Drosophila melanogaster: one gene and its partners. The protein of the gene in region 3 purifies or fractionates together with the protein of the main gene of each other region. This does not show direct contact. Each region holds a gene or a part of one and is shown on either strand. Other genes may lie near its edges.

What was found. The genes of interacting proteins can lie anywhere in the genome.
Region 1: the proteins of Snap29 (region 3) and Syx1A purify together in Drosophila melanogaster (affinity purification with mass spectrometry; 3 studies listed by BioGRID, with this or other methods). This does not show direct contact.
Region 2: the proteins of Snap29 (region 3) and Syx17 purify together in Drosophila melanogaster (affinity purification with western blotting; 4 studies listed by BioGRID, with this or other methods). This does not show direct contact.

The regions. Positions count from the first base shown.
Region 1 is NT_033777.3:24,101,071-24,107,446, forward strand, and holds Syx1A (syntaxin 1A), read right to left. Parts: upstream 4,694-6,376; 5' UTR 3,374-4,693; coding exon 2,502-3,373; coding exon of another isoform or gene 2,498-2,501; exon of another isoform or gene 977-2,497; coding exon 958-976; coding exon of another isoform or gene 728-957; 3' UTR 530-727; downstream 1-529. Other genes in the region: eIF4EHP (eukaryotic translation initiation factor 4E homologous protein), read right to left, coding at 728-976, 5,755-6,214.
Region 2 is NT_037436.4:4,401,501-4,405,697, forward strand, and holds Syx17 (syntaxin 17), read left to right. Parts: upstream 1-1,986; 5' UTR 1,987-2,326; coding exon 2,327-2,395; intron 2,396-2,450; coding exon 2,451-2,697; intron 2,698-2,758; coding exon 2,759-3,348; coding exon of another isoform or gene 3,349-3,483; 3' UTR 3,484-3,668; downstream 3,669-4,197. Other genes in the region: slow (slowdown), read left to right, coding at 400-656, 725-1,143, 1,212-1,343; CG15019 (uncharacterized protein), read right to left, coding at 3,861-4,115.
Region 3 is NT_033778.4:23,842,973-23,846,367, reverse strand, and holds Snap29 (Synaptosomal-associated protein 29kDa), read left to right. Parts: upstream 1-1,604; 5' UTR 1,605-1,721; coding exon 1,722-1,989; intron 1,990-2,058; coding exon 2,059-2,645; 3' UTR 2,646-2,885; downstream 2,886-3,395. Other genes in the region: CG5554 (uncharacterized protein), read right to left, coding at 1-261, 428-602, 672-833, 1,037-1,209; shu (shutdown), read left to right, coding at 3,174-3,232, 3,290-3,395.

The sequences.
Region 1 (6,376 bases), on a different chromosome or scaffold from region 3:
GGCACGAATTCATTAATAGAAAATGGGCGGAACTTCAAGGGGGCGGGTGGGTGTTTCAAAAAGGGGCGGAGGGTGGCGATGGGGACTTTAAAGGACATGGAAACGCGACCTTCGGCGATTTTTCAATGGTCGCCGCGAGGGAAAACGTAAACGTAGAGAGAGTAATTGCGGGAATTGCCGATAAAAAGAATGCTAAATGTTGAATAATTATAGCGTATTACTCACCTCAGCGTGTGGGAATGGAGCAATGCAGCTGTTTTTCGCGCTGGAAGCTGCGGGTCAGGAGCGCTGGAACACTGGAACCCGGACTGGAACTTCCAATGAACGTAAGGGCGTGGCAGGGCGGAGTCGCGTTTTTCGTTTATTTTTAATCATTTTTCGAATTTGTCGGGCCTTTAGATTGCATTTTTATGTGGTTAAAATTAAATCGCAGTTTGATTGATTGACATAATACGAAGTAGTAATATTTCTTTTGATTTTCTTTTCACTGAACGCGTTCGGTTAACTTGGGTGTTTTTTTTTTTTTTTTGCAGTTGTTGTTGCTCTTGTTTTTGTGGTGAAAACGTGCTGATTTGCGCTATTGCTGTTGTAGTTGCAGTTTTGGGTTTTCATTTTCCCATTTATTCGTTGCTCGTTCAAAAGATCAAAAGGTGAATTAACGAATTGAATAAGAAATAAACGTGCATGTAATGCAGGTCTGACATTTGCAGTTGGTAATTTCGTGTGATCAAAACAGAAATCGACCAATTCGCGTGACCAGTTCGTTTGGTGCATTAACAAATTTGCATTTCCTACTTAGAAGCGAAAGCATTTCTTCGTGTATCTTAATCACAATAATTGTCAAAAACTCATACACATTGCGTTTATTGTTATTAGTAACTATAATGATTTTGCATTTTCCGAATTGTACTACAAAACGTGTGTAGATAATGCAGATTATAGGCCTTGATGAGCATGCTACTTGGATGCTTGGATTCTATATGATTTGTTCGTTTTTCATTGTGAGTGCAGAAAAAGTTGAGTTGATTGGTTTGATTTTATTTGTTAAATTGGATTTTACAGCCGCATGCCAGATGTTATGTATGAGTAGTATAGTTTTGAATTTGCATTCCGATTGTTAGTTTTTCAGATGTGGATCGGTGGGAGGAAAGAAAGGAAAAATAAATTAGGTTAATTAGAAAGAAAAAGTATTACAAACTGTGTGTGTGCGGTGCGGTGTGAGTGTGAGAAATGAAATCATAGCTGAAACCGAAATCCATTAATTTCTGTTAACTTTTCTGGCGATTACAAAAAACGGAAATCAACAAAAGGAAACTAGTTTTTCCGGTAGATTAAACAACAAACGCAAAAACTTGTTCAATTGTTTGCGCAACAAAACAAAGAAAAAAACTGAATAATCAACTTTAAATTTAACTGTTTGCCGATTAATTTGAAGCTGTCTATATATGTGAGTGTGATTGAATTGTTTACCCCTTTAAAATCGGCATTCCATCATCAACTTCCTCAACTTCTCATGTTTTCGTTTCGCATTATCATCTCCATTGAGAATGTCCGAGTTAGCTATTTATCTAGGTTTATATTTGTATATATATATATGCGCTGTGTTTGTATAATTTATATATTTCATATGCATTCAATAAATATGAACATGTTAAGTAAATAGCATTATAGTAAATAGTCAATATAGTTATTATATCGCATAATAAACAATCTTTTTATCATAAATATTCAAAAGTGAACTAGAGATTTGTTGCATCTTTCTCTTCTTCATCGGTGTTGTGAGTGTGTGAGTGATGAGGCTACTTTTGTGTGAGTTTTCAACAGGAGAACTAAACTAGCTAAACGAACAAAAACTAAATGCATTTTCAAAGTCGGAAAAACGACGAGGAAATCAACAAGATTTTCTTTCACTTTTCCCTGCAAAGCATTTGCAATGAGTGTGTTTTGTGTGTGTTTTGAGTGGAGTAGTGTTGTTCCTTTCTTTTTATTACAATTCTCGTTTTTTTTTTTTGCTTCGCATTATAACAATAATCAATAAAATTTCATGTTTTCTTTGTTTGCAATTACGTGTCTTGTAGTTTTTGTGTTTCAACTCTCTTCGTATTGGTTTTATAAATTTTCAATTAGCAATTTGTTTACAAGTACTAAAGATTCTGGTAGCTATAACTTGAGTTTCATGTGTTTTTGGGATAGACTCTGGGGACTTGAGACTCTTGCTTACTAACCATACATGATTTCTCTATATATTATAATAGCTATAATTGGTGTAATCGAGCCCTAATTTCGTGTGCATTTCTTTTTTTTTTTTGTATCGGGGGTTCACTGGTTGCGGTCTCTTACAGTTTAAGTTTCGATTTTGTCTTCTGCAATTTCTCTGGGTGGGTTGCGCAACATCCTATGTATATAGATCGGGTCTGGATGAGATATATAATGTGTGTGTGTGTGGAGAGGTGTGTGTGTGGAGTGAATGTGGCGTGTAAGTAATTGCATTCGAGATTTACATGAAATAACTGCTAACATATGAGGCCGCTAAGATGCCCAGCACAGTGAGGCAGATCAGTATCATGATCTTCTTTCGTCGGGCTTTACTCTGGTACTTGAGCGCCTTCTTGGTGTCCTGAGTTGCCGTCTGCACATAGTCCATAGCGTGCTCCACATGGTACTCAATGCGATCGATCATCTCGCCCTGCGACTCCACCAGCATGGCCATGTCCATGAACATGTCGTGCAGCTCCTTGATCGATGTCTCCAGCTTCATGATGTCCTGGTGGCGGGCCTCAATGTCCGCCAGCGTCTGTTTGGCCTGCTGCGTCTCCATGATGATGCCCTGCGTGAACACAGACGAGTTGCCCTCCTCCAGCATCTTCTCCAGCTCATCGTCGTTGGTCGGTCGTCCGGTAATCTCCAGTTGACGCTGTATCCTTCCCTTGCAGCGCTCTCGGTAGTCGGTCTGCGTGCGATTGTACTCGGTCATCACTTCGACGAATTTCCGTGACAACGTCGAGTGCTGCGTCTTCCGAATTCTCAGATCCGCCGACGACTTATTCTGCTGCTCTTCCTGCTCGATGTTCTGCTCGATGCCCTTGAGCTTGCCGCGAACGCGATTGGCATTCTTCTTGATGTCGGCCATCAGATCCTCCAGCTCTTGCTTGGTCTTCTCGTCCGTTTGTGGGGCGGACAGGATGGCCGAGTGCTTCTTCTTTACCTCCTCGACGTTATCCTGCACCTTGTCGATCATCCCGCGGATCTCCTCCACCTGGGCGAAGAAGTCGTCCATGTAGGAATCATGGCCATCCACATTGACGGCCACCTCCGTCTCCTCCTCGTCATCGGATTGGGCGGCATGGAGAGCGGCTAATCTGTCTTTAGTCATCTTTGTGTCGGGGTATTATCCTGGTTTTTGAAGGGTGTGCGAGAAGATTATTCTCGATTTGATAATTGGGGAGTTTCGAATTTCTGGGACTATCCTTGTTTACGGTGCAGTTTTCAAAATTTGTTGGATTTTTTTAAATATTGTTTTTTATGCTTCGTTGTTATTTGGCTCTTTCCCTTGGCCAAGCTTTACGTAAGCCTTTGTTACGCGGTCTTCGCAGATTGCGTTTTTGCGATTAGCAGTTAAACGTTAAACACGCACACACACATAAACCACACGTGTAAACGCGCGCGGAGTTTTTCCTTTTTCTTTTTTTGCAGCCTTGCTTTTAACTTGTTTGCACGTTTTTCCACTTTTGCGAGAGACCTTTTATTGATTTTCCGCTTTTGGCTGGCAGCTCTCTCTTTGCTCGGTTTACTTTTAGTGTATAATTATAACTTAACTGGCACTTTGGCTGGCGTTTTGGTTAATATTATTATGCTTTTTTCGTGTGTGTGTCGTTTGGTGTGGTGTTATTTCGCTCACAAGAGAGACGGAGAGAGAGGCAAAGAGAGCTCGTGTTGCGGGCGGCGGCAGAGACGTCGACTGCGGCAGAGCACCTCTTCAATGCCAGCAGCTAAAAAGCTAAAGCTGCTGCTGAATTAATTTTTCTTTTTTCTGTTTTTTTCTCTCTTGTTATTTGTGACTCACACTGGTACCATATAATATTAATCTTTTACTCGGCGAATTTGTTTGTTTCACTTTCGCACTGGCACACGCACACACATACACAAACACGCACGCAGCAGTGGCAATAAACGATTTTCGGCAGTGGGAGAGGCTACCGAAAATCTCTTAAAATGGGCAAAAAATCGATTTCTGCGCAAAGCTCCAATTCTGCCGTCTGCTTTTGCTGCTGCTTCTTCGTCTTTCTCTGCTTTATCTACTTTGCTTCTTCTTATTCGCGGGGGGTGTTACGGTGGGCGTTATTTGTTCTTTCTCTCTCCTTTTCGCTTGCGTTTTATTTTCGTTTGTTGCGTACGCGTCGTCGGCGCCGATTCAGGGTGTGTGTTTGAGAGGGACGCACGACCACCTATCACGCTCTCGCACACTGGTTGTCTGGGTTCCACGATTTGTTGTTGTCACCAATCGTTTCACATGCACATTTCTTTGTATTTATCTGAGGCAAATGTGTTGACAATATTTTTTTGATTTTTTTCACAAAAAACCAAATATTGTTTCGCGATTTTCCCGGCGGCCAAGAGTTTTTTTTTGTGTGATTTCGATGCGAGCCGAAACGAAACACAGCACCTCGCGCGGGCAAACAATTTTCGAGTGTGACCGTGCCGTCACTACCAGAATATACCTTCCGGTTCGCAATGATTTCCTATTAAATAACTACATTGAGTAGCTAAAAATACCAGACTAAAAACAGGACTAAGCGGGGACACCAACCAATTCTCACAATTTCGATGATTCGCGAATCAAGTGATTATGTGGATGTATTTGGATGTGGATCTTAAGAGAAAGAGCTGGAGCTCCTGCAATCTCTTCCTGGTATATTATAAATTTTGGTATTTTATATTATTTATAGAACAGGATATTTCTCTTTATATAATTTAATTGATATCTGCTCATCTTCATTTTAAAAGCTAAGCGTGGAAAAGATAATATTTTGCTGATGTAATCAAGACTTTATTGTGCAAGCCTTATACGTTTGATTGTTAAAAAAAAAACAAACTGCAAGTGGTTTCTGTTTTCCCTTTTGCCCGGCATTTTCGTCTTTTCACTTTTGCAAAACGCGTATTGAAATGTGCTAAAAATGCCGCCACATAAGTTCCATTACGTCAGTCCCACACAACAGCAACAACAATCAGCACGGGTTTGTTTGTGGATCCCATTCGCACTGAGATACGTCATGCGCGAGAATTTTCATGAATGAATCGCGACCGGCACTTTTGTTAAAGCGAATCGCGAGCTGAAAAGGAACTGGGGAATAGGCCGCAAAATGCAATAATATATATGCTCGGCATTTATAAATAAATATAAAAATTAAGTAACACCAAGGGTAGTGAACTGTTACGAAACGTTGCCCAACACTGGTCCTATTGGAGCAATATTTAAAAATTCACTTCGTTCAATTAGAAATTTAAAGTTACGAAAATTACATGCTAATTCACATAGAAACTTGGAAGGAAATTATTACAATTAAATTTTCTAACGAATTTGATTTAATCGAGTAAGAAAAGTAAATAGTTTAAGCCATCTGTTTAGAATATACCTGTAAAGGATATTTACTATTGTTTGCTATATTTATGGGTTCTAAAAATACCGATTTTTAAGAAAGGTATTCTGGCATGGTTTCCCCAAATAAGACATTATATAGGATCTTTGGAACTCACCGGATATTTCGTCTGTAGCACGACTCCGCATATCTCGTCGCCGACGAGGAACTGCTCCCCGAGCATCGCCATACAAACGTTCTCCCAGGCCCGGTCGACCTTGTTCTTGCGTAGTCGTATCAACCACTGGCCGCCCTTGCTGTTCGCCGGGTCCTCCCACATCGGTATGATGCCCTGCTTGAAGAGGAGGAGCTCCCGGTAGGGCTTCAGGGCGGTGGGCCGGATGAGGTGCGAGTAGAGCGACCACCACTGCTGCACGCTGGCGCACCGGCCGACCATGTGCAGCGACTTGCTGTAGTCGGCGGCCGCGCGCTGCGTCTCCTTGCGAGAGAACCAGAGGCAGTATGTGTGCTGCAGCCGGTTCTCGCCGGGACCCACCTCCAGTGGTGGCAGGTTGTCCACATCTATCTGATTATCCACATCGCTGTCGTCGCTGTCGACAATATCTGGCCAGTTTTTCCTGTAACGCGAGTACATGACACACAAAATAGATTTTGATTAGTATGTCAAAGGCTGTATGTAGATCAAATTTGACATTTGGTTCACCAAATGACACAACCGCCGCACTTTCACATAACTATCACAAATTCTCGCAGCCAAATTAAGTTTAACAAAACAAAAA
Region 2 (4,197 bases), on a different chromosome or scaffold from region 3:
CTGCCATCTGGCTGCTCCTCCATATCCGAGTCCGAGTGGCGGGCAAACAAATGACATGGCTGACATGGCTGCAAGTCATCGGCTGGGAGCGTGTCGTGTTTGTCATCGCAGATACGCGAACACGCTAATATCGTAGTCCAGTCCAATCGAATCCAATCCAATCCAATCCGCTGGCACTTCCAGACACATGTGACAATTGCCCAGATCCCACTCCTAAAAACAACCTGTTGGCCGCTCTGTGTCGTTATGACTGTAATTGGGCGAAGTCGTCTGGAAAAGTCAGTTTCACTTTTGCAGATGATGAGCCGCTGATTTGGGTCAGCCACACCGCTCGAATCCATTCCAATCCTATTCGATTCACACCTCGCTCTGGTTTGTTTTCCTTGCTACTCATTGCAGGCGGCACATTTGCATGCAACAGCGAACGGTTACGATGCCCGTGAAGCGAACGGAGGTCTACAGTCGTCCCACCTGGAAGCACGTGGCCACGCCCTGCCAGCCGCCCACCTTTAGTGGCCAGAAGTGCACCAGGGTGCAGGTGGTCCACGAGCAGGCCTACAGGGACGTCATCGATCACAAGACCGCCCAGCAGATGACCTACGACTGCTGCACGGGATGGAGCCGGGAAAACCCAAGGTCGGATTCGTGCATGAAACGTGAGTCTTAAACAAAATACATAGATTGCAATGAATTTGGAATATTTTTATCTTCTAATTATTTACAGCTATTTGCTCCGCGCGCTGCCAAAACGGTGGCAATTGTACGGCTCCTAGCACCTGCAGCTGTCCAACTGGTTTCACAGGACGTTTCTGCGAGCAGGATGTGGACGAGTGCCAGACGGAGAAGCCATGCGATCAACAGTGCATCAATACGCATGGATCTTACTTCTGCCGCTGCCGTCAGGGATTCGTTCTCCAGTCGGATCAGCAGAGCTGCAAGAAGGTGTCCACGAATGCGGACGATGCGTTCGAGGCTCGGGATCTGGAGAACGATATCGATGATACGGACGCGGAGGTGGCCACGCGACTCCAGAAGATCGAAAAGTCCTTGGCCAATGAGCGAGTGCACACGAACGAGCTGCAAAAGTCGCTGCAGGCCACCTACAGTGTGGTGGACACACTCAAGAGTCGGCTAAGCACGCTGGTAAGGATTAGAGTTGAACTTCTATATTTGAATATTCATACTTTAACGATTACTTCGTATGCCCTCAGGAAAAGCAGGCTCAGGATGTCAGTCGACTGCAGACGAATCTCTACAAGACAGAGTCCCGGACGAACAAGCTGGAGGGTATGCTGAACCTGCTGCTGAAGTGCCGGAATGGCCCCAATGCCAATTGCCCCTAAACAGAACTGCATTTCCCCACGCTATTATTAAATGTTAGTTAACTTAATTGACCACTCCGTTCATGTGTAGCTAGATGCTCCTGCTTGTAAGCCATTCCCGAATGCGAGTCGAGTGCCTCTGTAGTCTGTAGAATTAGCCCACGGATCGGGCTATTAGTACTTAAGCGAGAACGTGTGTCATAAATGTATCGAGATGTGAAGTTTTAGACGTAAGCGCACCACCGCACTCTGCACCGCTCTTCATGTGGGTGGTGCAGTGATTAGTTTCTGCATGTATCTGTATATAATTTTAATGTATATGAGAAATCACTGCACGAATAAATGCATTTTCTGATTTTAATGGGTCTTTCATGGGATATTTAACAAAGGAAATCTATTTATCTGGAAGTTATCATGAAAAAAAAGGTAAAGTGCTGCAATATTTACTTTTATATATTGGCTACAACTTAACGCGCAACATAAAATTTGGTTATTTTTCCTTTTAAATGCAATAATGGTGAGTCAACAACTATTTTTATGACCTCGGCTGTAAGCTGACCTTTTAGCGGGGATTCCCACCAGCGGAGACAATCGATAACTGTAAGAATAATATCGAGTGTGGGCAAGGCTGCGCAATATTCGCTAGTATCGAACTGATTGCCATCTCTATCACCAATAACAAACAAATAATTGGACTGCACAATAGAATTATTATCAGTATAAATATAGGGGACAAGACCAGCATGATTGGAACCATGCCACCGTAGTTTCATTCACAACAACAAAGCACTACTCACTGGAAACATCCCGAAAAGCAAGCAGTGACGTCACTGGCAAAACAAAGCAAAAACTGCGCAGAAAAACCAGGGAAATCTGTTAAGCAAGGTCCATCGTTAAAAAGGGGCGGGGGGTGTTACAGAAACTGATCCCCCAGATTTCACTTTTACCACAATTAAAACTGATTAAAAATCAAAGCGCTGCGAGTTCAAAGTATTCAGTTCACGATGACGCGCGATGAGAAACTGCCACTTAAACAGGCGGAGGTCTCCATCCAAAGGTTTCAGGATGTGGCGGTAGGTTATTTACTATATCTTCTGAAGAGCGGAACTAATTCCTTAACACTCATAGGTGCCCCACCATCTGAGCCTACTGAAAAACCATCGCAGCAATATAGAAAAAAGCCTGGCGCTCGGCGACTGGCAAAAAATCAAAAAGGAGGAACTCAATGCTATGAGGGTCATTAAGCAGATCAAGAATCTACTTCTGGAAATGGATGCACTGCGAGAAAAAGTACGGGAGGAGGATCTGGAACGTTTCGACGACCTAATGAAACCTGGCAGGGATACTGCCTTCGCTGGCATGAAGGAATTTGCGGGTAAGTTTGAAATGCCATCTAAATTCTTTCGGCTTTACCAACACACCTACTGTATTTTTAGAGCTCCAACTCAAATCACCCACCTCCACTTTGAGTTCTCAGTACGACGACGATCTGGACAATCAGCCACAGGAGGTGGATATGAACAGTCTACCCGCACACCGCCACATGCCCCAGCTGCAACTCAATTTCCAGCTGGAGGAACACCAATTGGCGCAGAGGCAAGCCTGCCTGGATCAGATGGAGAACCTGCAACAGGAGATCTACGATCTGCACGGGATGTTCCAGGGAATGCGTCAACTGACTGCAGAGCAATCAGTGGCGGTGGAAAAGATAGCAGACAATGCGGAGGAAGCTCTGGAGAATGTCCAGCAGGGCGAATTGAATCTGCGCCGGGCGCTCACCTACAAGAAGGCCATGTACCCCGTAGTCGGAGCTCTTCTGGGCACCTGTGTGGGAGGACCCATTGGTCTGGTGGCGGGCATGAAAGCTGGAGGATTGGCGGCAGTAGGATGTGGCATCCTCGGCTTCACCGGTGGCTCTGTGCTAAAGGCCAATCCCAATGTAATGCATGGCAACATCGAGGAGGAGCAGGTGGAACCGGATAGCGAGTCAACTGAGAGACTGGAGCTAAAAGAGAAGCCAGAATGACCCGCAGGAGGAAGTGCCCGATCCGCATCCACGGCTCTGGCCACCACGCACATATGGTCGGCGAACACACGACGTTTGGAGGCAGCCACCAACGGAGTGATTTGCAGCGTGCGCAGCTATTGTTCCGTTCAGTAGAAATTTGACCACGATTTTAGTTCAATATCCCCATTTTGTGATTTTCCACGTGCAATAGAGCTAATGAGCATAATGTAACTGCACTTTAGTTTAAGCGTTGGATACTTGTTGTTCACATGACACCGCAAATGTGTGTAGATTTTAAGGCTTTAATATGCAATAATAACTCGTAGCTTTAAAAAAGTAATGATACTATTTGATTGCCATGTTGAGAAGTTCAGACTATATCTGGGTTTTTCAGAACTTGTTTGGGCTTTAATATGCAATATATACTCTTAGCTATAACATCTTTGTAGAAAAAGCCTACAAAATCTCCTAAACTAAGCGAGGACTTATAAACTACGATAAGATACCAGATGGGTAACCCAGCCCCGGATTTATAGGGGAACATTAACCGTGGTCCAGGCCTGTTTGAAGTTCTTCTTCTGCGAGTGCTGCTTCTTTCTTAGACGCTTGGCGGTCTTCTTCTTCTTGAACCACGCAGGATAATTGCCGTACTGATCTTTGAGGGTCTTGCTGTTGAAAATGTGCTCCACGCCCGTGTTCTCGTTGGTCACCTTGACTTTCTCGCCCTTCTCCAGACTCTCCTGGTGCTCGTAGATCAATTCCTGCTCCTCCTTGGATTTGGCCTCCTGTTTTAGGAATACAATTTCTTCTTTAATAAGGATATAAAATACGTAACAAGAATGAAGGTAGTATCGCGATAAACTAAGC
Region 3 (3,395 bases):
CTCGGCGTCGCCATCATCCTCGATCTCCTCGGTTGCCAAATCCTCCAGGCCCTCGGTCAGATTGTCCTGGGACTCGGAGAAGCTCTGGCGCTGCGACTTCTTGGGTGGGTAGACAAAGTCCACAAGGCACACGAGCAGCAGCCCCAGGGCAGCGCCCACGAAGATGGTGGCGATGGCGAAGAGGGCGTAGGAGCCCCACGTGGGCAGTCCGTATTCCTCCTGCAGGCGCCCGTTGAAGTCCTTAAAGAGTTTTTGCGTATGCTATTAGTACATGAACCCAACATACAAGACAACAGCAGAGAGCAAAGACCAGAGTAATGAGTGATGGGCGGCAATCTTTTGTGGGTCAACGGGATCAACCCGCTGATAAGCTTCCGCTTATGTCTCATGCAGTGAACCGATGCGATAATGGGCTAGGTGAACGTACCTTCAGAGTGTGCGAAAGCTTGAAGAAGTAGGACAGCACGGACATGTGGGTGGTGTCGGGCTTCTTCCAGGCGGACAGCGGTTCGATGCTCTGCCACTGCTGCTTCTTCACGAAGTAGAGGAGGGCGTCGCCATCACGGGCCCCACGATACTGCCGGAACTCGCCATCTTTTACGCTGGAAATGATTGACGTGGATTACGACGATGTGTATTTCATGGGTTGAAAAGGTCTATGTGGTGCTCACTGGTAGATGGTGGGGAGGGCGGTGACAAAGAAGCGTCCACTCAGCGAGGGCGAGGTTGTCACGTCGATTTTGGCCACCTGCACCTGGACATCCTTGGCCACGCGGGCAAACCGCTCCCAGGTGGGAGCCAGGTTCTTGCAGGCCGGGCACCATGGAGCAAAGCTGTGAATGGAGGGAGAAACATATGTTTAACACAGCTGCCGATGAGTCATCGTCGCCGCAAAGGAATGTCTGGTATTTCGGAGAACGAAAGAACCAGCTTGCCGGCTGGAGAAAGCCGGCGCACCACGCCCCTTTATGTTACGTCAGGGGCAGCGGGGTTTCATGTGGGTAGGGACTACTCAGAGCCACCCTTTCGCACTCACAACTCGATCATCCATTCGCCCTGGAGCATCAGGTGCCAGTTGTCCTCGTCCAACTCGATTAACTTGCCACCTGGCTGCAGTCCTGACTGCGCTGCTGCCGTCGACTGCGCCGTCGCCGCCAGCAGAAGCAGCGCCGCGCATGTCGCGGCCACAAAGTACGATGTGCTATGCATGTGGTGATGTTTTGGTGCTTTGCTCCGCCGATTCGTGTCCTGAAACCTGTGACGTTCGGCTGCGACAGTTTCTTAAATTAAACTAAAGCTTCCGTCTTGGTCAGTTCCAAAAAGTTACAGAAACTGCGACGCCTGCTGGAAAATTGACAGAAGTGCTGGTTCGATATCCATCGGAGATGGCAAGCCGCTTTATTCCCCGCTAGATCATCGGTAGGGGGATTCGGTCGGTATTCGCTCGTTACACGATTTTTTATTTATTAGATCAAGCTTCAAGTTTTCTTACATACAAATTCAATTTTTATCGTATCTTCAAAATCATTTTAATTATAATAACTTATTTTATTGAAGCCTCTGCAATGTCAAGCTATTTATAAGTCGATTGAACTGCATACAAATACTACATTTGTACCATCGCTATTGCAATCGATAACTCCAGACAACAACAAAGAAAATAAAAGTTTACGAAAACATAACAAAATTCGACATTTTGGAAGTTTCCCTCGCCACAAGAAATGGCCCATAACTACCTGCAGCCAGTGCACGATCACTTCGATGACGTGGACAGATTCGAGGACGTGGACGACGACCTATTCCTGCAGAACAAACGGACGGGAGCAGCCAAGCTTCCGCAGCAGAGGAGCACCAATCCCTTCGAGATGGATGACGATGACGAAGAGGAGATAACCTCGTCGCCATCAGTGGCCGCACAGCGACTGGCCTATGCTGAGAAGCGAAGGGCCATTGAGCAGCGAACTCTGGACTCTACCAACAAAAGCTTGGGTAAACATGGGGTCAATTGCCAGCCAATTAAGGGGCGTTATTGATGCGTCTCTCTCCTACAACCCCCAGGTCTGCTCTACGAAACCCAGGAGGTGGGTAAGGCGACGGCCGTGGAGCTGGCCAAGCAGCGGGAGCAACTGGAGAAGACATCACATCAGTTGGACGAGATCAGCTCCACGCTGCGCTTCAGCCAGCGCCATCTGACTGGTCTGAAGAGTGTCTTCGGCGGCCTCAAGAACTACCTTTCGGGCAACAGGGACCAACCACCCACCGCGACTGGTTCGCCCACGGGCAGTCAGTCCTCCCAGGAGGCCAATAGCAACATTAACCAGGGTGCCTGTGGCGGTGCTAGCCCCTCGGCTCCGCTATCACCAGCGGAGCGCTACGACAATCATCCGGTTAGCCAGCTGCGTGGTGATCCCAGCAGCACCTACCAGCCCCAGCGACAGGCGGCCAATCCCTTCCAGGCCCAGATCGATTCCAATCTGGAGGAGATGTGCAGCAACCTGTCGGTGCTGAAGATGCTGGCCACCGATCTGGGTGGCGAAATTGAGTCGCAAAATGAATTGCTGGATAACATGAACTACAAAATTGAGGATGTCGACTTGAAGATTCACAAGCAGAACAAGGACATGAGCAAGCTTCTGAAGAAGTGAACAAGCGAGCATTCGCATACTATTGTATTGATCATTGCTTAGAATAGCCCTCCCTTAATATACAAATCTTAGCCATACCATATCGCACGGTGAGCACTTCACAAGGCCATTAAGAATGCATTCCTCATTATGTTTCCTAGTTTTTTATTGTTACACACACCAAAACAATTCTCTCAATGGAGTGCTCGTAGTTGGAGAGCGATAAGTGTTCAGTTTTAAATAAAGATTCATATAAAAAGCAAGTATATCTGGCCTAGTGTTTCCCCGTCTGGATTGGAATACATTATACATTTTCGGAAGATATCTCGAGTTGCAGTGCTCGCGCCCTAATAAAGATATATAGTTCTTTGTTTGAATTCGATAACTTCCGGACAACAGCGACCAATCGATTCGCTAAAGCTATCAAGCAATCGAATTCCAGTTGATACCATCGCTGGAAAGCTCTTTTCTCAAACGCATCCAAAAGAATAGCGCCAACTCAGCGCATTCCGGAATTCGTTTCGTAAATATTCTGTAAATTTTGCGATAATGGAAGAAAACTTCGAACCGTACACCCCACAGTTGCTCAAGAATCCCTTGTCCTATTCGTGAGTAATAAGATACATATTAAAGGCACTCATGACCACGTGCAACTCATTCTGCAGGGATCTCGTGAAAAAGGGCGTTGAGTTCGAGGTCGACAATTCGCAGCAGAACCATGCCAGGGATCTGGGTCTCGACAGCGACAGCGACAGCGACTACGAGGATGCG